2 linked regions of the Caenorhabditis elegans genome follow. The protein of the gene in region 2 purifies or fractionates together with the protein of the main gene of each other region. This does not show direct contact. Each region holds a gene or a part of one and is shown on either strand. Other genes may lie near its edges.

Evidence for each region.
Region 1: the proteins of osm-6 (region 2) and ift-81 purify together in Caenorhabditis elegans (affinity purification with mass spectrometry, with the first as the bait; one study listed by BioGRID). This does not show direct contact.

Annotation. Positions count from the first base shown.
Region 1 is NC_003284.9:5,293,602-5,304,966, reverse strand, and holds the start of ift-81 (Intraflagellar transport protein 81 homolog), read right to left. Parts: upstream 6,407-11,365; 5' UTR 6,336-6,406; intron 6,303-6,335; 5' UTR 6,272-6,302; intron 6,241-6,271; 5' UTR 6,218-6,240; coding exon 6,087-6,217; intron 5,494-6,086; coding exon 5,374-5,493; intron 5,317-5,373; coding exon 5,193-5,316; intron 4,921-5,192; coding exon 4,840-4,920; intron 4,753-4,839; coding exon 4,598-4,752; intron 3,834-4,597; coding exon 3,749-3,833; intron 3,512-3,748; coding exon 3,407-3,511; intron 3,349-3,406; coding exon 3,205-3,348; intron 3,198-3,204; exon of another isoform or gene 3,177-3,197; intron 2,376-3,176; coding exon 2,296-2,375; intron 1,494-2,295; exon of another isoform or gene 1,461-1,493; coding exon 1,389-1,460; exon of another isoform or gene 1,367-1,388; intron 1,127-1,366; coding exon 1,036-1,126; intron 993-1,035; coding exon 843-992; intron 15-842; coding exon 1-14. Other genes in the region: ags-3 (Tetratricopeptide repeat protein 28), read left to right, coding at 6,941-7,013, 7,069-7,219, 7,267-7,402, 8,010-8,155, 8,204-8,327, 9,123-9,238, 9,285-9,388, 11,231-11,365.
Region 2 is NC_003283.11:11,921,191-11,932,976, reverse strand, and holds osm-6 (Intraflagellar transport protein 52 C-terminal domain-containing protein), read left to right. Parts: upstream 1-5,530; 5' UTR 5,531-5,570; coding exon 5,571-5,600; intron 5,601-5,648; coding exon 5,649-5,764; intron 5,765-6,146; coding exon 6,147-6,234; intron 6,235-6,312; coding exon 6,313-6,433; intron 6,434-6,482; coding exon 6,483-6,615; intron 6,616-6,703; coding exon 6,704-6,845; intron 6,846-6,892; coding exon 6,893-6,979; intron 6,980-7,091; coding exon 7,092-7,211; intron 7,212-7,256; coding exon 7,257-7,366; intron 7,367-7,790; coding exon 7,791-7,987; intron 7,988-8,032; coding exon 8,033-8,307; 3' UTR 8,308-8,356; downstream 8,357-11,786. Other genes in the region: F58H1.2 (uncharacterized protein), read right to left, coding at 3,099-3,241, 3,293-3,394, 3,463-3,738, 3,821-3,872; aman-2 (Alpha-mannosidase), read left to right, coding at 1-230, 273-726, 774-876, 924-1,268, 1,317-1,537, 2,081-2,459, 2,510-2,687, 2,739-3,030 and 2 more; R31.2 (ANK_REP_REGION domain-containing protein), read right to left, coding at 8,645-8,914, 8,971-9,240, 9,508-9,639.

The sequences.
Region 1 (11,365 bases), on a different chromosome or scaffold from region 2:
CCGCCAATACTTTCCTGGAAATAAGATTAGATAGACACATAAACCACAGAAATCTTGCAAAATCGGGAACGCAGGATAAAAATAATTTGGATTAGTAAACTTTGAAATATGATATTAAACTGTTACATGTTTTGTCTGTTGAAATAGGAGAGGTGTGTCAATTTCGTGTAGCAAAGTAGTTTAGAAAAAGGTGTGAGTAAATACATATGACACACGTTTTTTCTGCTTTGATCCTACCACTTGATCTTGCTGGAAGTAGTTTGCAAAAAAGTGAATTACTGTTTATTCTCTCTGCAACAATGGTGAAAAAAATGATTCGCGGAGCTTGGTCGAATTTGTTCTCTGATTCCAGGAGGTATAGGAAAGTAATTAAAATTATAAGTTCAAATTTTATGCAGTTAACGTATTTAATAAATTAAAAATGGTGATTATTTCTATCAGTATCGTTAAGCGTTTGTAAATATGTTACCATACGCAGCACTGTAGAAAATCATCACAGTTTCGGCAATTCTAATTTTTGACAATCAGCATTTTTAATCAAAAAATGCTTGGCAATCGACAATTGGGTAATATCAAACAGCGATTGCCGTAACTACAAATACATTTGAATGAAATTTTGCTATTATAATTCAGTGAGAGATTACATAAACTGCCATATGTTAGCAGAGGTATCTGATACATTTAAAAGTTTGATGTTGATAATGCACAAATAGTTTTTTTTTCATTATTAAACAGCTATCTGGAAAAAGATCACTAAAAACTTCAAGAATTCCAAAATATATTTTTGCCGTTTCGCGTTTTTTTTTCTATTCAACATTCAACTCAACAATCACGCAACTCACAATGTGCGTTTCCAATTTATTGTATCTTTTGGAAACAATGTCAATTGTTCTTTTAAGCACTGCCACCTCGGTATGCATCAACTCAATTTCCTTCCTTTTCTTTTTTTGTTCTTCACTTTTCACACGGTATTGCTCTAAATATTTTCGGTACTGAAAAAATAGTATTATACTGTTACAAATTATTTCGCCTCACCTGAACATTTGACACAACTTCCCCGCCCACTTTGTCTTTGAGATTGGTTTTACGCTCATCGACATCTTTCTCAATTTTCGCAAGTTCTTGCCTGAAAGTCACGTCCATTTGGTCGCAAATACGGTAGCTTCTAATTTCCTCAACTCTTGCAGTTTTTTGCAAACTTTCTAAGAATAAAGTGGTTTCGCTAATCTTTTTTTTGAGGAAATTGAGAAATGGGGTCAATCAAATGTTGAAATCCCATCACTTTTCTCGCTTTTTCCCATTTTCAATTTCCTACTCCCAGTGGAATAAATAGGACGTTTTGGAAAAAAAAAGCCGAAAAGAGAAGAAGCCCATCTACACTCACTTACCTCAATTCTTGCAATTTCTGCACCGCTGTTTCTTTTTTGCGTTCGAGAAGGGAAGTTTGATGACGAAACACACTGAAAACACCTCATATGTTTTTTTGAAAAAAGGTCAGTTTTGGGAAAATATAAAAAAAGATATTCTAATGTTTTACGTATAGGAAAAATACGATAAACGCAATTTCACAAGTTTTAAGTTCATCACCTGGTTTTGCTTGAAATGCTCTAGAAATGCCGAGTTAAAAAAAAACAAGTGACAAAAAACTAGGAAGTTAAATACCTTGGATCTATATTGAGCGTATTAAAGAGGGATTACCGTCAGTGGGTATTTGTTTAAACATTACCCAAATAAATTTAAAATTACCAAATATCATAGTGGAAGTATTCTAAAAAGGACAATTTTCCGAGCAGTCAAAAAATGGTAAAAACTCCGTCCTAATAATGAAAGTCAACAAAAATTTGTTCCACAGTTTTCAAATTTTAGTTATAATTCAGAAAATTTTTAAAAATCTTTTTTTTAGTTTTGAGAGTATTATGCTCATATTCGGTCATGTTAATTATGTGTCTTAAGACGAAATCCGCAATAAAGATACACTACTTTCATTATTTTTAATAATGATAAAAAAATTTAAAGTTTTTTGTCGAAGCATCCCTTACAAATTCATTTTCTTTTCTAAATAAATATCTAACACTCATAGAAGAATACGCAGATTGTGTCTCTTAGCAGCAACCATCATCATCCACATGTTTTTAAACCGAGTGATGCCACTGTCCGCTTTTAGATTTGCCTTTCCTTGTTCATTAGCAACCAGACCAGATTTCATATTTTTTGCACAAAGAACACAACAACAAATTTGAAATTTTCAGCAAGCACAATTTTAAAACATCTAGACCAAAATGAGCATGCACTTACCTCATGTTCTCATCAATATCCACTTCTTTGTGATCCCGTTCGTCTTCTAGTTTTCGAATTCGTTTTGACATTTCCTCTATCTGAATGATGAATTTAAAAATAACTCTTTCATGCTTTGATCAGCCATGTTTAAGATGACTTGGGAGTAAACAATTAACATATTTTTGGTCAGACGAAAATTGGAAAATTTTTTCGTCTCTCTGACGTCTGAAGCCATTGTTTCGCTCTTTGGCTCTGTTATTTGTTTTTGCCCACGTTTGAAAAAAGCTTTTGAATAGCTTTTAACTCTTAAAACATACAACTTTTTTCTGTAATTACATCATTTAATTTTGTAATCACCTTGGAAATAAGTGAAAAGTGCAGCCACGTTTAAGCTGGGCGACAATTTTATTTTGGATGTTTTTTTTTGTTAAATTTGGTATACATTTTCAAAAATAGCAAAATCATTCTAGCAGTTTTTTAACATCAATGTAGTTTTTATTCCCGCTAATTTTTGTTTACAAAAAATTTGAATTTCCTATCAAAATTTTTTTCAGAAAAACTTTATTGCCAAGTTTGTTTTCCTAGAAAATTTGAAAATCCCACAGAAAAAAATTCCCGAGAAAATTTTAATTTCCGCGAAAAAATTTTTCGGAATACTTAAATTTTTCGCCAAATTTTTTTCCCAGAAAATTTGAAGTTCCCGCTAAAACTTTTAATTTTCGCTAACAACTTGCTTTCGAAATTTTGTATTTCGGGCAACGTATCTGTGTAGTAGCCGTGCTCCAATAGCATTAATTCCTTTTTTAATGGTAATTTAATTAAAACGTGAGGTCAGTGTTGCATATATACTGTCGGCTGCACATTTATCATAAAATTCCCCAAAGTTAAATCTGCAGAGATCTTTAAGCCTGGTATCTTTAAGCTTACCTCAGAATTCATTCTACTGACATCCTCTTCCCGCACTGAATTGGACCTTGCCATGGCTGTCAGCTCTTTCAACTTGTTTTCCTTTGATTCAATTTCTTGAAACAACTTGCCATTCACTAAGTAAGTGTTCGTCGCAACTTCGTCCTAAGAAACCCTCTGTCGTCATTAGATAGGAGAAGACGAGAAAAATAAGTCTAGTAACCTCTAATTTTTCCATTAACGCCTGTTCATCCAATGTGTCAGCGACCGCTTGAGCCTCCGTCAAATTGATTTTCATTCGGTTGATTCTGGCTTCGATGTTCAGGACCTAAACAGAAAAGAATTTCTGATTTTTGATGCTCGCTGCGCCAAAAAAACGCAGTAAGAAGGAAGAAGCCGCACACTCGAGAACAAAAAAATTGCACTCGCTATTTCTGTACTTCTTCTTTCATTTTTTGTCAGGAGAGCAAAAAAAAATTACGTCGGAGATAAAGAAAAAGGAAAATATTTCACTCGGTCTATTTTTGATTTTGAGATAAAAAAATGGAATTCCCAAAGAACCAACCTTCTGCCGTTCTTGTTGTTTTTCAATTGCAAAATCTGCATATCGGGTTTTCTCTCCGCGTAATTGTAATGCAAGTTGCATTTGTCTGAAAACGATTGGCTATTTTGAAAAATGCCAAAATTTATGTTTTATTTTTATACTAAATTCATTTTATTTTATTTTTTATTTTTATAATTTACGCTAAAGAACTCCCTTACTTACGTTTATATGAAAAACGGACAATTTTCCGCAAATTTCTATCTGCACTTGCATAGCGCTCGTTATTTAGCAAAAAGCTTGTAAATTTATTGTTTTCTACTTAATTATGATTGAAGCAGACTTTATCGTACTTGTAGTAAAAATATGAGCCTTATATTCAATTTTTTTGACAATGAGTCAAACCAGAGCTTAAAAGCAATACCGATACAGGCCAAAAGCTTTGCTCAAAAATTGCTTTAAAAATATATTAGCAATGTAAATGTGTTAGAAACTAACAAGAATGATCGGAAATATCCATCTTATCAGCTTATAAAGTTTACAGCTCTAAAGTTTCAAGTGAGCTGTTTTTTTACCTTCAATGTTTTGAAATATGTAAAATCAGGCAAAATACAAATTTCAAAAAAAAATCAAAAAAAATAAAGAAAAAAATCTGAGCTCATTTGCCGGGCTTTTTCAGTTTTTCTGAGGTTTTCTAACACGATGAATTCAGATAGCAAATTCACTTGTCAGTGAAAACTTTTATTAGTTTTCTATTGTTAAACGAATTTTCCTTTTTTTCGCATAAAACAAGTAATTAATTAAATTTTGACTACATTTTCCTGTTATTTTTGAACAATTTTTTTTTGAAGTTTTCACATTATTTGAACTTACTTATCAAAATATGGTATATTCTGCACTTTCTTCTCGGTCTTCTCAATCTTTCGGAGCAAAATTTGTTTTTCTTTTTCCATTGACTTTAAATCCTCTTTTATGTCATCAAGCAAGAGTACGTCTGCCATTATTCCTTTCATTTCAGCATGGATTTCCTGTAGAAAAGTTGTTTTGTTTTTTTTTGTTTTTGCTTTTTTTTTGCTCATCCACTATCGTGACGACTAATCTCTCATGTGATTAACCTTAAACTCCATTGTCAACTCTCCAATCTCATTTTGCAGCTCTTCAATATCATAATCGAAGAATTCTCCAGGTACATCTGTCTGAAAATAATTAATTTACGTATTTCCAATTACAAAAAAGTGCGAAGCTGTTTAGCCATTTCTTGATTCATTAATTCAATGTGTACCTAGATCAGAGACTAACTAAACCAAAAACTTCGGCTGTCTTGCCTACTATATCAGCTATTCAAGCAGAACGATGCTTGTTCTCTATGTATCATTTTTCTTTTAAAAAAAATAATGACAACATCTATTTCTCTCCCCCCAGAAACCACTAGCATAACATGTCGGCTTTTGGCATAGCAATTCATTACCTTCATCAAATATTTTGACAAATATGCGCGCTCTTTCAAACCTTCTGAGTTTTCAAAAAGAAAAACCAGAAGAGGATAGAGGCTAGTCTTGCGACCTTCGACAATCCCTGCACGCCATTCTTCCCTGTAATATAATGTCAAATTAGATGCTGTTTAGTGATTGCCCTCGTTTTGCACGAACTGTTCATCCTGGTCTTGCGGTGGTCTGTAGCGGAGAATTCGGAGCATATTCAGAATACGAATTGCAGTCTCTTCAGCAGCCTCTCTTTTGATATCAATTCGGTCCGTGTCGGAAACCCAGCTGAACATTTTAAAAATTTTCGTTGTTCTTATATTATTAAATTCAATTTTATCAGTGAGAGCATTTATGTGTTTGTAAAAAATTTATTCAAATTTTTCTTAATTTTTTTATGACTTTTGAAATTTTGCAAACAAATAAGAAAGAACCGAATTTTTTGAACATTCTACCCAAGTGGACCTGCTGATACCCCTTTTCTTTATTGTTGTGTCAAATTTTTTTTAAATTTACACAGCAATCTATAAAATAATTACTTTCAATAGAAAGTTTAAGAAGATTGCTCAAAAACTGACATTAGTATCAGTTTGCCAACCAGCAAATTTAACACGCACATTGTAACTTTGTGCCTTTTTTTGAGCAACATCCAAAAGTACAATTAAAGGTAAAGCTATTTTTAGAAATTAAAAAAATTTATTTATATTTCTTTGAAAAATTCTTGAAAAAATAACGATACAATAATAATAAAGTAGCTGTTTTTTAATTGTCACAAAAAATGTAGCACACGTTTCTGGAAAATTTTTGTGAATATTTTAAACACCATAACTGTTTTTTCTCGATATCGCATTTTTTAAATTTCTTTTTTTGACTTAACCAACCTCAAAACATTACTCAAAATTTGGAGCAACTGCTGCGGTGGTAATTGGTCGAATTGAAGTGATGATAAGTTGAGATTGAACGGCTCTTCATTCAAAAAGTGGAGAATAAACCCTTGAATATCGTTCGACATCTTAAGGATACACCGTTAGTGATGACAATAAACGCGAGCTCGTCGAGCAGCGCTCCCGGTTACCAGGGCAACACGACGTAAATATATGTTGTTGCTGGGCTCTTTGCTATGTGAGTGTGAAATGTTTCAAGTAGTATTGAAAAGGGAACAGAAGTTGAACAAGTTGAATCAGTTTGTTGGTAATTAACTGTGGTTAGAGATTTGTTTTGAGTGAGTGGTAATTAAATGTGAACTTTTGATACTCTAAGGTAATAATTTATATTTTTCATATGAGAGTTTTTTTTTGAGTAATGTATCTTTTAAGACTATCAGTTTATATTCCTTTGTCATTTTAAATTAACAAATATTTTGCTCGAAACAATACTTCCTAGCCGTCTTTACACAAATGACGTCAACGCGCGGTTACTAGCTCATCTGTCGTGAGGAGTGAACGAGAGAGCTGCCGCAGACATAGCAAGGACGTTTCTTTCCATGTACTGAGAGCGGCCGTGCAACGAACAAACAGAGGAGTTTGTTGGTCCGTACTCGTTCGAATAAATCATTCAAATACCTTTTTTTCTACATTGACCACCCTTTCTGTTCTGAAAGACCACATTTCGATTCTTCTTTCTCAATCTTAATCGCTTGTGTTTCTCTCCTTTTTTCTAGTATTGTGCAGATTTCTGAAATCTTTGTCATCGAAGAATATCAATCGATTTTTTTTTTGCAGCGGGGAAAGGTGCGATGCAGGACCGTTCCTGCTACAAGCTCACACAGGAAGGGGAACGTCTTTTTCGCATGCAAAAGTATGAGAAAGGTAACTTCTTTTTTATTATTATTTGTAAATAATTGATTGAATTTGAATATTTCAGGCATCGACTTGTTGAAAAAAGCGTTGGAAGTAGGCACAGATGATTTTTCATTACTCTCGGCTATCTATTGTCAGCTCGGAAATGCACACACAATGCTTAAAGATTATGAGCAAGCTCTCAAGTTCCATACGTATGACATTCTTGTTGAAAGGTAACGAATGCGAAAGAAATTTAAACAAAAAATAAACAAAATTTCAGATTGCTTGGAAACAAGGAGGGAGAAGCAAAGTCGTGTGCCAACTTGGGAAATATATTCAAGATGAAAGGCGCTTACAACGACGCGCTCACCTTCACATTCAAACAGCTGGATTTTGCCGAAGAGTTGGGCGATAGAGTGAGTAGAACTTGATTTTGTACTTGAAAAAAAAATGCACCCGTTGCTATACCAACAGGAGATTTATTATTTTCGTGCTAGCAAACATGTACAAAGTTCCATCTTAAATTTTCTTCGAAGTTTCCAACATAAACCATAGTTACAAGGAAAGTATTTCAGCCTACAATGAGACTTCTGAATGAAATCTATGTCATTTGAAAGGGGACCTGCAAACTAGGTTACCACAAAAAATTTAGCGGCAGAAGAGCACGTTGAACTACCATAAAAACCATCTGAAAAGGATCAATATTTAATAGAGCTGTGAAATTGCATCCAATGTTGATTTTTGCGAACTTCTAGTGGTTTTCGGAAAGTTTACAGGTATGCAAACATTCTGGAAGCTTGAAACATTTCTCGATCGAGTTGGGTGAAAAAGTTTCAGATGTTTTCAAATAAAAATGTATATTCCAAAAGATTCCAGAATGCTTGCCTAGAAACTTGTTAGAAGCAGCTGTGAATATTGCTATGAAATATTTCAGCTTTTCAAAATAAGGCACAACGCAATTATTCAAGAATGAAACTCCTAATTGCATTCAGATAATTTACACTTTCCATTTAAAAAATTCAGGTTCTCAAATCTCGAGCTTATTACAACATTGCGACGATTTATGTGGAGCGAGGGCGATGCACAAAACTGGAAGCTGCTGAAGAGAAAAATGACGCCAAAAATGCAGAAGCCACTTCGGATTTTGAGAATGCTGCCAAGTACTTTATGTGAGTTCATTACTTCAATCTTCCTAATAAAGATTTTAAAATTTGCAGGCTAAATCTGGAGATGTCGGAAAAATCGGAAGATGCGCTGACGATGGGGCGATGCTACGGCAGCTTAGGAAATACTTATTATTGCCTTGGAGACTATGACCAATCTATCCACTTTCATAAACTTGTGAGTTTTTATTGAAAATACGTAAGAACCCTTTTTCGGAACGGATGTGATGATGCAATGTCGCGTGGTTTGTGGTTCAAACCGGAAATCTAGTTTTTTTTTTGCCTTCAACGCGTAGATCAAAAGTTTATGAGGATATTTTTATTTCTATTTTACCTTTTAAGGCCAATCTCGTTTTCCAAGTTTCAAGCTTAGGAGTTTTTTACTTTCACCACGTGATTATCGAGTTTCCGAAACCTAATGCTCATTTCCGATCACATTACAGACAGAAAACGCTGTTTGTTTTTGTCAGGTGAATAGGAAAGCTAGACGTCCAATTTTCTCAAAAAAAATTTTCTCCATTTTTCAACCAAACAACAAAGTTCAAATTTCAGTTGCTACGGGCGTGTGACCTTGAATTTGTAAATCATTCAGTTATACTCTGAACTTCCCGGTCCCTGTTTTTTTCTAAAGAAAAACATGAAGCCAATCAGGACTGCGAAAATGTTGTTTTTTATTCGAATAATGAAATTTGAGGAACACAGAAACCTAAGAAAAAAGAACTGGACATATATCATAGAACGTTGGGTTTTGAGCATTCACTTCCTTTTACTTCTTGCCAGATTGAATTTTTAATTTGAGAAACTTTTGACAAACCTCTTGTCTTTCTTTTCATTTTTTGTTTCTCTACTTTGAAATAAGTCCAAGCAGGTCTTGAGACTCACGTCAGAAAAGTCAAAGACGTTTTGCGACTCATTCACACCCTGAATAAACAATCATGTGAACAACACCTAATTCGTGAATCATTCTTTCCAGAGACTTGAATTATCTCAACAATACGGAGACCGAGCGTCGATGCGTCGCGCTCACGCCAATATCGCAAATTGTCACGCGTTGAAGTCGAACATGCCGCTGGCTATTCAGCATTATAAGTGAGTTATCTTTTTGTACATCTGAATCAGCATGTTTTTTTTTCAGACTAGCTTACAACCTGGCCATTGAGATTGGCAACAAAACAGAGGAAGCTCAAATGGCTTACTCGTTGGCCAACGCCCTCTACATTGGTAAAGAAGTCCAGAAAGGTACGTGTTGTCACGTGGCATATGGTGTTAGGTGTTGGCCGCGTACATGAGATCCTGCAAAAAAGACGGGGTCCACAAAACCCACGGGTAATGGCTATTGAATTTCATCAATGGTCATAACGCCTTTTTTCCTTTCTTTTTCGTTTCTTGCTACCAAGATTTTGCTCTGATGACGTTCTCTTCTTTTCTTTATTCCGGCAACTTGTCCTCATTCTCGAAAGCTCTTTTTCACTCTATGTTCTGTTCACAAACAGCTGGTCAGCTCTAACATATGACATCTTATGTGACAATTCGCTTGTGCATCATTTGATAAACAAGCCAACGAATTTCGCATATATCTCTTTGCAAAAAACGTGCCAACACCCCACCAAGTCATGTTAAAATTTCCGTCTTCATTCTACAAACACTCTCGGGTATAATTGTGCTCCGCGATAATAATAGTCATTTGAACTGACATTCTGAGAAAATTTTTGAAAAATTTTCGAATTTACAGCTGCACTTGAATTCTTCAAATTGCCTTTCACACCAGAACCTTCTCATATTTTTCTGTCTCCAGTTTTTATTTTCTATGCTTGTTTTCGTTTTTCGTCAAAAAAATTTGAATAAAAGTTTTCGAACTTTTATTGGCAAGGTTTAGCAGAAGAAAGTTTAAATATCTAAAAAAAACTACTTGTAAGTAATGACCAAATACATAGTAAAACCTCAGAAAGTTATTTAAAAGTATTTTATGTTCAATCAAAAAGTGGTAAAAACTCCCTCTTCACCTATAGTAATTTGGAAAAACTATTTGTCTACGAGCTTGCGATAAAATTTTGATTGTATTTCAATCGTTTGTACTTTAATGTTGTCGATGTAAGAATCAGCAGCAATAATTGAGTTTTCTCAAAAATATATACAATTTCAATCTTCTGATTTAAAAACTAAAAAGGGATATTCGGTGTATTAGCAAAAGTAACATTTGATAACGAACACTAGGGTTTTCTTTACTCTTTTTTTTCTAAAATCTATTTAAATTTTCCGTTCGAGTTTTATAAGCGATAATTTTTGTCAACAAAATTTTGGCTCAGTCATCTCCCCAGCTTGGTTTAAGCAAAGATGAGCCCATGTTTCTAAACTGCGATCTTCGAGTTTTCTTGATTGTTGTCACATATAGATGAATCTTAAAACAACCCTTTCTAGAATAGTTACCACCAAAAGAAAAAAATCCAATGTGATGCTATGTCCAATATTTTTGTCTGACGAGCTTTTTTGTCATCTTGTTGTTCTCCTTTTTGTGATGGTGCTGGTGTGGGTAACCATCTCATTTTCAGTGCTCTCGGAGCAACCGCTGCAACCCGATTGTAAACACTAGAAGACTCTTGAATTTAAAATCAAGTATGGAGTCCGGGTGAATCAATTCATTCCCATCACCATCCAATTTCACGTCACTTCATGTTTCCATCGTTTTTCTCCCACTCGTCGCCTCATCTCCTCGTTCTTGTGTTTTTTTCGTGTTTTTTCTTCATTGGCCAGCCCTCGTGGTATGTGTGTGTGTATGTGCGCTTTTGTTTTTTGTTCTTCCTAAAAAATTGAGAGCAGATAGGAGGAGGCTATTCGAATTCACTTGTCTTTTCTGACAAATTGTGGGAAAATTGAGACAACTGACTGTCATCAGATAAATAAAACAAACCCCAATGAAAAATAACTCTTGATTTGATCACACGTCATGCAGAGAAAGGCAAATAAAATAATTGTCATTCTTCTTTTATTCACTTTTCCCGTCTTCCTTGTTCATTCACGTCTTTGAAAATATTTTCTAATACTCAAAATTTAACATCAATAACACATTAAGCTTATTTTCAGCAATCACCTATTTCCAACGTCATCTTAAAATTGCACGGAGTTTAGAAGACATATCGGGACAACTGCGATCATACTACTCACTTGCGCTGTCATTCAACAACCTTTGTGAACGTCGCAAGGCACTTTATTTTCTGG
Region 2 (11,786 bases):
TTCAACGAGCAAAAGCTGAAAAATCGGTAGATTTTGATGAAGAAAAAGAAAAAACGGAAGAAAAAGAAGTAGAAAAAGAGGAAAAAGAAGTTGCACCAGTTCCAGTTCGAGGAAATCGTGGTGAAATGGCTCATATTCATCAAGTAAAGCAACATATCAAGCCAACTCCATCGATGAAAGATGTTTGTGGAATTAGAGAAAACGTCAGCATTGCTCATTCAGACCTGCAGGTAGAATTTTATTTATATTTTAATAAAATTTGTTTTTTTAAGATGCTCGATCTCTATGACACCTGGAAGTTCGAAAATCCAGACGGAGGTGTATGGAAACAAGGATGGAAAATTGAATACGATGCAGAGAAAGTCAAATCTCTTCCACGTTTGGAAGTTATTGTGATACCTCATTCTCATTGTGATCCCGGATGGATTATGACTTTCGAAGAGTATTACAACAGACAAACTCGCAATATTCTTGATGGAATGGCTAAACATTTGGCAGAAAAAGACGAAATGCGGTTTATATATGCAGAAATATCATTTTTCGAAACTTGGTGGAGAGACCAGGCAGATGAAATTAAAAAGAAAGTTAAAGGATATTTGGAAGCAGGAAAGTTTGAAATTGTTACTGGCGGATGGGTTATGACAGATGAAGCTAATGCACATTATCACTCAATGATCACTGAATTGTTCGAAGGACATGAATGGATTCAAAATCATTTGGGAAAAAGTGAGTAAAAGTTTTTTTTTTGAATATTGCATAAATTGAATATTTAGGCGCCATTCCACAATCTCATTGGTCAATTGATCCATTCGGTTTATCACCATCAATGCCACATCTTCTAACTTCTGCTAATATAACCAATGCTGTAATTCAAAGGTATGAACATTATTTTTTAAAAATAGTAAAATATTTTCAATTTCCAGAGTTCATTATTCGGTGAAACGTGAGCTTGCTCTGAAAAAGAATCTTGAATTCTACTGGAGACAATTATTTGGATCAACTGGACATCCTGATCTTCGTTCACATATTATGCCTTTCTACTCTTACGATATACCTCATACGTGTGGCCCAGAACCGTCTGTTTGCTGTCAATTCGATTTCCGTAGAATGCCAGAAGGTGGAAAATCATGTGATTGGGGAATCCCTCCACAGAAAATTAACGATGACAATGTGGCTCACAGAGCTGAAATGATTTATGATCAATATAGAAAGAAAAGTCAACTTTTCAAGAATAATGTGATTTTCCAACCACTTGGAGATGATTTCAGGTGAGATTTTATTTCTTAATCTAGAAACTAATAGTGCTCTCTATTTAGGTACGACATTGATTTTGAATGGAATTCACAATATGAAAACTATAAGAAATTGTTCGAATACATGAATTCCAAATCAGAATGGAATGTTCATGCTCAATTCGGAACTCTTTCTGATTATTTCAAGAAGCTTGATACTGCAATTTCTGCGTCTGGCGAGCAACTTCCAACTTTTTCTGGAGATTTCTTCACTTATGCGGACAGAGATGATCATTATTGGAGTGGTAAGCATCAGGACAGAATCCAAAAATTCTTGTTTTCGAAGACGAAAAAAAAAGTTTTTTTTAATTTGAGAAAACGAAAACGAAAAAGGTTTTTCACCAAAAACACGAAAAAAATAAAACTTTGAAAAGTGATTTTGAAAAACTTTAATTTCGAGTGTAATTTTTTGGAAAAATGTAAAATTTAAAGTTTTATTCGTTTTCAATATTCCAGATTTTTTCTCTTTTTTTTTGTTTTTTTTTTTGAAAAAAGCAAACAATTATTTTTTTGGCCAAACACGAAACACAAAATAAACAAAACATTTTGTAAGATTGAAAAGCAATTTTGAAAAACTTAAACATCTATGTATCAAAAGTGTACTCTTTTTATAATTTCAAGTGTAGATTCTAGTTTTTCTGTTTTTCAGTATATCAAAGTTTTTCGCTTTTTTGTTCACTTTATTTTTTTGAAAAAAGCGAGAAATAAATGTATCGCTAAACAACTTCAAAAAAAACGAAAAAAAATAAATAACTAACAAAATTTTTTACCGCTTTACGAATTTTCAGGATACTTCACTTCCCGTCCATTCTATAAACAGCTTGATCGGGTTCTCCAACATTATTTAAGATCAGCTGAAATCGCCTTTACCCTTGCAAATATTGAAGAAGAAGGAATGGTTGAAGCGAAAATTTTTGAGAAGCTTGTGACTGCTCGACGAGCTCTTTCACTTTTCCAACATCACGATGGTGTAACTGGTACGGCAAAAGATCACGTCGTCTTGGATTATGGTCAGAAAATGATTGATGCTTTGAACGCATGTGAGGATATTCTTTCGGAAGCTCTTGTTGTATTGCTGGGAATTGATTCAACGAATAAGATGCAGATGGATGAGCATAGAGTTAATGAAAACCTTCTACCCGAAAAACGTGTCTATAAAATTGGGCAGTGAGTTTTTTAATGTCTCCATTTTCATTGATTAATTGTATTTCTTACAGAAACGTCGTATTGTTCAATACTTTATCTAGAAATCGCAACGAGCCAATTTGTATTCAAGTTGATTCTCTTGACGCTGGTGTCGAAGCTGATCCTCCAATTAAAAAACAACAAGTTTCGCCGGTTATTGCATATGATGAAGAGAAGAAAACGCTTGTTGTCAAAAACGGAATATTCGAAGTAATTTATAAAGGATTATCCTGAAAGTGACCATATAATCATGTCTTTCAGCTTTGCTTCATGTTATCACTTGGACCAATGGAGTCTGTCAGTTTCAGACTTGTGAAAAATACAACAACATCCAAAGTTGAAATAATCACCAATAATGCGGCAGAATTCAAAGAAACAAGTTTTAAATCTTCATCCACTTCTGGAGACTTTACTGTGAAAAACGACAAAGTTGAAGCTGAATTTGATGGAGAAAATGGAATGATTAAAAGAGCTACCAGTCTTGTTGATGATAAACCAATTGATTTGAATTCTCACTTTATTCATTATGGAGCACGGAAGTCAAAGAGAAAGTGTAAGTAATTAGATTTATTATTTGAAGATTATTAGAATATTTAGAACTATTATTAAATCTGAATGTTGTTAGTAATAGTAACGGGCTGATCGAACAGCGCGTTGAGTAGCTCTGAATGGAAGACGAGAGACAGTTGGTCCCTGGTATACTGTAGGAGAAGATCCATAGGATCCCATGGCCAGTGGAATCACCATTGGGTATCCAGAAGTTTCTAAAGATCATTAATGAATTAATAAAAATGAATTGATATCTGTTGACTCACTTGGGTACATTGGATATCCATTGAGTAGTAATGGTTGACCACCTCCCATCATCATATCAGATGCAGCGAAACGAGGCTTATACATGTTAGATCCATACGTATCTGAAGTTTTGAAATTTCCGATTTTATTAGGATAATGTGTGATTTCCACACAAGGTATTAAATCTCACCCATTCCCATCATACTGCTAGAAAGTCCATACGGCATCTGTTGCATTCCTTGCATGTTATGGATACTCTGAATTCCTTGCATTCCCTGTAATCCTTGAAATCCTCCCATAGAACTCATTGATCCCATGGACGACATCATTGGGTTACCCGAACCAGAATAGAATGAACTTCCGCTCATTCCGGGTCTACGAATATAGACTTCATCACGTTCATAAGGATTTCCATATCCTGAACGAGATCCCGAAGATGAGTAGACGTTATAAATAAATGGGTCGGCTGAAATAAGGGATTAAATAATATTTATCATTTTGTACGCATCCTAGTGCAGTTTATGAAACAAAATATTTCAGTAACTCACCTGAAACTGCGGATACAGCTAGAATAACTGCAGCTGCATAGAACATCACCATTCCTGCGTAGAAGCGCGAAATGATACAAATCAGCCGTTGACATGATAAACAAGTGATTGAAATAAGGCGATTTGGGTCAAGAGATGCATCCGTTCTTCACTCCTCTTCACTCTCTCACTTCTCATCCCTTCAAAATCTAGGCTTTTCCTCCAAATCTTTTGTTCGCTTTAAAAATGTTTTTCTTTCAGTCGCAAATGGAAATGAAGACAACCCGGCTGGCGCATACCTGTTCCTTCCCGATGGAGAAGCTAGAGAACTCAAAAAACAATCAAGTGATTGGATATTGGTAAAAGGAGAAGTTGTTCAAAAAGTGTTTGCAACTCCAAACAATGATCTGAAAATATTGCAAACGTACACACTTTATCAAGGGCTTCCATGGATTGATTTGGATAATGAAGTTGATGTACGTTCCAAGGAGAATTTCGAGTTGGCACTGAGATTCAGTTCTTCAGTAAATAGTGGTGATGAGTTTTTCACTGATCTCAATGGAATGCAAATGATAAAAAGGAGACGACAAACTAAATTACCAACACAGGCCAATTTCTATCCCATGTCTGCTGGTGTTTACATTGAAGACGATACTACCAGAATGTCAATTCATTCGGCACAGGCTCTCGGAGTTAGCAGTCTCTCGTCGGGACAAATTGAAATAATGCTTGATCGACGACTTAGTTCAGATGACAACAGAGGTCTTCAGCAAGGAGTTAGAGACAACAAACGAACAGTTGCACATTTCCGTATTGTTATTGAGCCGATGTCTTCATCGAGTGGTAATAAGAAGGAAGAACGAGTTGGATTCCATTCACATGTTGGTCATCTCGCTACGTGGTCTCTTCATTATCCTCTTGTCAAAATGATTGGAGATGCAACACCAAAATCTATTTCTTCGAAAAATGTGGAACAAGAGCTGAACTGTGACCTGCATCTAGTGACATTTAGGTGTTAAAAAATCTGAAATCTACAGTAACCCTCATCTTTAATCATTTTCAGAACACTGGCATCGCCGACAACTTACGAAGCCAACGAAAGATCTACGGCAGCTGAGAAGAAAGCAGCGATGGTGATGCATAGAGTTGTTCCAGACTGTAGATCCAGGCTTACCCTCCCAGACACGTCATGCTTAGCTACTGGATTAGAAATTGAGCCACTCAAATTGATCTCGACACTGAAGTCTGCGAAAAAAACGTCACTAACCAATCTTTATGAAGGAAACAAGGCTGAACAATTCCGACTCCAACCAAACGATATTTCCAGTATTCTTGTATCATTTTAATTTTATAATTGCTTATATGTAGTAGTTATATTTTCAGTTTTCATTACATTTCATGGGTATTTATTTATTAACTATAATCTTGTATAAGACGATGTAATTATGAAACAACGATTTCACACTTCCGGTTTTCATGTAAAATTTTTTTCGTTCCAAATAAATTGTTATAAAATTAATTACATCTTTCATCAAACTTCAAAAATGAAATTGCATTTTTAATAATTAGGAGTCTATTACGGAATTCATTAAATTTCAGAAAACAAAGTTAACTATATATTTCTCTAGTAGTTCCTTTCCCAGGAGACCCTTCCAAGATTTGTATCCACATGTTACCATAGTAACCACTCATTGCTTCTCGCTCACATTGTCTGCTCCCTCTCTTGGGGCTTATATCTCTTTCAAGCTATTACCTTCATTAGTATACATCTATGCCTCCATTTTCAGACGAAAAGATGACTGTAAGTATTAGATTTTAGTTTTCGCATTTTATTATTTCCATTTTCCAGAACCGGAGTATTGGGAGAAAAGTTCTGATTGATCAATCAAAACAGCAACAAATTAGTTTGATTAGTGGTTTTCGTGGTGTGGCAAGACATTTAAAAAGTGTTCTTACTGTTGAAATGTGAGCTTTTTTGGAATATTTAACATTTTATACATTAAATACATAGTTGAAAGATTTACGATTTATGATGAAAGAATACGATACCCGGTCTCGAAACGAATTAAAATCGGATCCTGCGAAGAAGCAGGTTTCTTGTATTTTTGTTTCTCATTTTCTTATTTTGAATTCTTTGGAATAAATATTCAAATTATACTGAACAAATTAAGCTGCTATTTAAAAAATAAAAAATAAAACGAAAAAAACAAAATATTGGAAACTACAGTACTCCTCGAAGTCGAGCAATCCTTTGCGCGGAATTGTTTTGCTCGCGTCGAGACCTGCTACCGTAATTTTTGCCAAATTTGAATTTCTCTCGCAGATAGATAATAATTTTTAAATTCAGAAACACAGAACCAATTAACTTAAATGGATTAGAAGATGTTCGGATGCTTATCATTCCACAACCAAAGACATCATTTGGAACTGGAGAGGTTTAGGATTTTAAATTTTATTAAATTTCATTTGATTGTCTCAGCCTAATTTTAACACCCAAAAAATTAAAATTTAAGATTGAAGCAATATGGAAGTTTGTGGAAGAAGGTGGTTCATTGATGATCCTTTCTGGTGAAGGTGGTGAGAGACAATCATTAAATGAAATGATTGCAAAATATGGAATTACTGTGAATAAGGGTATGTCTTTATCAAATTAAATGAATTACAAAAATCATCAACATTCAAGATTCGGTAATTCGTACTGTATTCCTGAAATATTTTGATCCGAAAGAAGCTTTAGTAGCAAATGGAGTCATAAATCGAGCAATTGCAGTGGCTGCAAAAAAGAATGTGAGCACTGAGCAAAAACATAATTCACAGTGAGTTGAACTATTAGCTTTTTATTTATTTAGGACAAAATTCGGTTTCCGATTTTCCAAAAATAAAAAAGTGATTTCAATATTTCAGAGCACTTTCATTCATTTATCCATATGGATGTACTCTAGATGTGAATAATCGTATGTCGAATGTAGTATTGTCTTCTGGAAGTACAAGTTTTCCAACAAGTCGCCCAGTTGCCGCTTTTCATGAGACAAAACTCAATGAAATGGTATTAGAATATTCTGAAATTGGTACATTAATTCATATTATTTTCAGAAAAAGAAAGGTAGAGTGTGTGTGGTTGGATCAGTCTCGATGTTTCATGACACATACATCGATAAGGAAGAAAATGGAAAGATTTTTGTAAGTGTATTTTTGATATGGTTCGAAATAAACTTCCCCGGTTGGTTGAGGCGTGCAGGATGCGCCTCCCACCCGCCTCTTAACTCGCCTTATTGGAAAATTTCAATTTCAGGATACATTTGTGGAATTCCTGGTCAATGGTCTTGAACTGAACACGATAGATGCTGCAGAGCCGGAAATTAATGATTACACAAATATTCCAGATCATATTCATATGTCCCAGCAGATCAAGGTTTGACTTCAAAAAATTATACTTTCTAGACAAACTAACAAACAGGTTTGTATGTACGAAGGAGAATTGGATCAGGCAATCAGTTCGGATTTCATGAAGATTATGGATACTTCGTTGCATTCTTTTAATTTGAAACATTGGCCAATGACTATAAGGTACTGTGCCCTAAATACTTTCCCCTGACTACAGAAATATGTTTGTTATTACTAAGAAAAAGATTCAAGAATCATGCTTTCGAAAATGGAAACACGGTTTTACCCAATCACCAACTTTGCGATGTTTTCCTGAAAATACGGTAGCTGGTCTCGACACGATCAAATTATTTACGAATAAAGTACGGAAAAGAGCGTGCGACTTTAACAACTACCGTAGTACCTCACTCTGTTTTCTAATAGTCAAAAGAGAATAATGAGTAGTGTCACACTACAGTACTGTTTAAATTTTTAGCATTTAAAGGCGCAAGTTTCCGCGTCCTTCTTTTGAAATTATTTCGATATTTGGAAAGAATATTAGAATGAAGTTTACAATAAGTTTTAGTGTAAAACATCATTTCTACTTGAATAAACATTTTTATTCTAGATTGTATGAAGCATTGAATCTTTCACCTCCACCACTTACCCTTGTTGAACCTCAATTTGAACTTCCAATGCCTCCATTTCAACCTGCAGTATTTCCACCAACATTTCAAGAATTACCAATGCCTCCTCTTGAATTATTTGATCTTGATGAACAGTTCAGCTCTCCGGAAATTCAACTTTCTCAGCTCGCAAATAGAAGTAAGAGTTTTTATTCAGAAAAAATAATAAATGGAATAGTTTCAGGCGAGGAAGAAGATCTCATATTCTTTATTGAAAAAGCTGGTGAAATTACTGGAATATCTGCTGAATTGACAAGAAGTGAACGAACCCCCAAGAAAATAATTGAGTTGGCAGTGAGCAAACTCATGTTATTCAAACGTTCAATGATGGATGGAGAGTTGGAAGTTGCATCAGCGTTCGATATTGGAGAGCATGATGCTCATCATCAAAGTTTTAATCAAGGCGAAGAGATGGACGAGCAGCTGTTCTCTGATATTGATGAGTTCGATGATTTGTGATTGATTTGTCTGGAGATAAGATAATAAAATATTCATGTTGAAAAAAAAACGTTTTGGATTTTAGTGGGCACAATTGAAACGATGAAAAATGACCCGATACGGAGAAGAAAATGGTTAAATGATTGGGATATCTAACAAGAAAACGGTAAGAAATTGGATGATTAAAGAATACACTGAATACCGGGTAACTTCAGGCGGTGGATGGGCGGGGCGTGATGAGGAGGAAGAATGTATGAACTGGGATGGTGATTAGATTTCAGTTTTTCATGACTATTCTTTTAGAGTTTAGAAAGCCTATGTATCAACTATAGGGTAAAACTAATTGAAATCTTAAAGTTTACTTAAATTTCTTAACGTAGACGTAATAACCAAGACCGGCAACTCCAGCAACTGCAGCTGCAGCAGCCACATTTCTGACGACGTCTGGATTATTGTGAATCCACGTGGCCAAATCGCTGGGTTCGCGTCCTTCTGGAACTTGCTTCGACTCTTCGACAACTGTGGCTTTTGTTGATGGAGCTTGGTGTGCAGAAGCTGGTGGAACAAACGATGGTTCATGTTCTGATTCTAAAACAGTTGGATCATTCTGCTCCTCTTCAACTTGGGCCTGTAAAACATTTGAATGGATGTACATGTCTTCGGTTTATATATTAGAAAACTTACAGATATGATAGGAATGGCTGCAGCAATTCCAGCGACTGCTGGAGAAGTATCAGCTAACTTGGCAGCTTCTTCCTTGTCAACTTTCTCGAAATCTCCCGGATCCGAATCGAGACTCTGACGAGTTGTGAGTGGAATCAATTTTGGTTCATCGTGCCCTTCTCCGTTTCCTTCGTCAGCACCATTATTCGAATCCAAATCAGTAGCGGCCAAGCTAACTGGTGGGCTTGGCTCTTTCACATAATGGGAGAGATCTTCAGCTGGAGTTGGTGCCTGAAACAAAAATCTATAAATTAGAGAAAATATCGTCCACTTAAAAATATACTCTTGAAAAGGTTACAAGACAATTTGCAAATTCGGACAATGGCCATTTTTAAGTGTAGCCTTATCGAAAAGATAATCATGATTTTCTGTTGGATTTTTGTGAGACAAAATTAAAAAAATTATAAATATCCAAAACGTCACACGACCGCGATTAAAAAAAAAACATTCCTATATTGGTTTCATTTTAAATTTTGATGGTGAAAACAAAAAACTCACTCTCGGTTCTTCCTGCTCCTCATGATCATCATTTTTTGGAATATCGATATCTTCTTGTCCGTAATTCTTTTCTACGACCAAATCCTTCGGTGACACTTCTCTTTCTTCGGACATGTTGACTGCGTCACCCGTCTGAAATTATATATTTTTAAAAGTTTATTACAAATATTCATTAAAATTTTCCAGTAAACTGTAATTTTCAAAAAAGGAACCTTTGGTGTTCTATTAATAGATCGAATAGAGAATGGTCTACGACGTTGAACGACAGGTGAGGAATCAGAAGATTCAGAATCCGACATAGTACAAGTAAAGTGAAAGGAGTCACGGAATAACTGGTGGAAGAGAGGACGGAATAGAGATACTAGCAGGTGAGATTGATGTGTTGTTCGTATTGATATCCTACGCTGCCTATGCTACTGCGGAAAAATCGGATGAAAAAAGAAGAAGATAATAGAAAAAAGAGCAACAGTAGGGCAGAAGTAGAGAAAAAACAAAAAAATATATGGGCTAGTAGGAAACGAAATATGAGAAGAACGCGTGATGACGCTAGGATGGACGTGATAGATAAGTGATATTTTTTGAAGAGAGCGTAACGATAACTTTAAAAAAGTTTGTGAAATAAGGATTCTGTTTGACGGAATTTCTAGAAGCAAATTGAAATTCTGAAACTGAAATTTCTGATACTGTTTAACTCGAAAGAAGCTGCAGGTTTTATGTACAAAAAACTTAAGCCTATCAATAATTTCAAAAACTTATCGACATTTAATTCCACAATATTGGCGAATAATAAAGTAACGATAGAATAACAATTTTGAACATTTTAATGGTACTGCAAAACATCAAAGTTGAATTCTTTTTAAATTTTAAATAAAATAAAAACACTTTTATTTTTGTTGACAAAAAACCAAGACCTGATCAGAAATTATTTTAAAGAGATCGATTCGAACAAATGTCGATGGTTGGCCGTACTGCTACCACTTTCGACCTTTCATCACGCGCCTATTTCTTCCAAAACATTGCGCTTTTCCCAATCAGTAAACAAATCGTCAACGAACCAGAGATAAATGTTTTTTTTCTTTCAAATTGATAAGAATTCTATTCATGATCACTGGGAAAACATCGAGGGAAAACTATGGAATCTATGATCTACGAGGGAACAAATTCATTGAGAGAAATAGAGAAGAAGCAAAAAGGAATTTAGAATGAAAAGAAAGAATAGGAGACAATAGACATATGGACGAAGCTGCCAATGTTGTCTCGCGCTTATTCACGTGAAACTTGGCGGAATAAGAGAAAGAGTGGCAGAAACCAATAGAAATTAACCGGATTCGATGAGAGTGCAGCTCACCGGGAGGAGGAACAGCAAAATGAAGTGAAAATGAAGAGAAAGCGGGTTCATAGCACCTGGCCGGGAAAATCTCGAGCTGCAGAAAGTTTGAAAAGGAGGGAGGAACACAGGAAAAACTATATATCTTTGAAAAATGAGAGATTTTGAGCGGGCAAAAACGGATAGGATAGAGGTTTCAAATGTTCTTTGTAATTTTGTTTCAAAATTTCAAGCGCCTCGAAAACATTTGATCTACTCTACTCAAAACAATATTATACAAGTCTAGTTATTTGTTTGTAGCAATTATTTTGCATGTCTGTTGAAAGTTTATCAAATTCTAGCTGTATTCTGGTGTTTAGTATTATTTCAAAATTAACATCTAAGGAATTGAAGACATGAGACATATGGGAAAGTGTGCGCATTTTTGTGATAAACATAGAACGCAGAACGAAAGAGAGTAAAACATGGGCGGTGGTTAGAATGGCTCTAACTGTCTGCGTTCAATGTTATGAAGATCTCTTCGTAGAGTTTCAGAAAGAATGAGTAAAAAAGTAAAACAAAAGGATGAAGCCGTGAGCCCATTCTATGATTGATTCAGAGGACACATGGGCGGTATAATGTAAAGAGAAAGAAAGAGAACAAAGTACACTCAGTCAAATGACGGCTGCAGCCGGACAGAAAAGAACACTGAGGTGTAGGAAAGAGACGAAGAGTATACAAATTGTTGACAGAAATCCAATGAAAAAACTAGTGCTGAGGTAACTGAACTGTTCGTTTCGAGCGGCAGTGGAATGACTTTATCAGTGATTGGAAATGTCATATGGCTTTGTTCGTTGCGAAACGACATGTGGTAAATGACTTGAAGACAACGACGAACTATAGACTATGACGATTTTTCTAAAGGTGAAGATTTTGGGATTTGAAATAAAAATTAGAAAATGAAGCAGAAAAT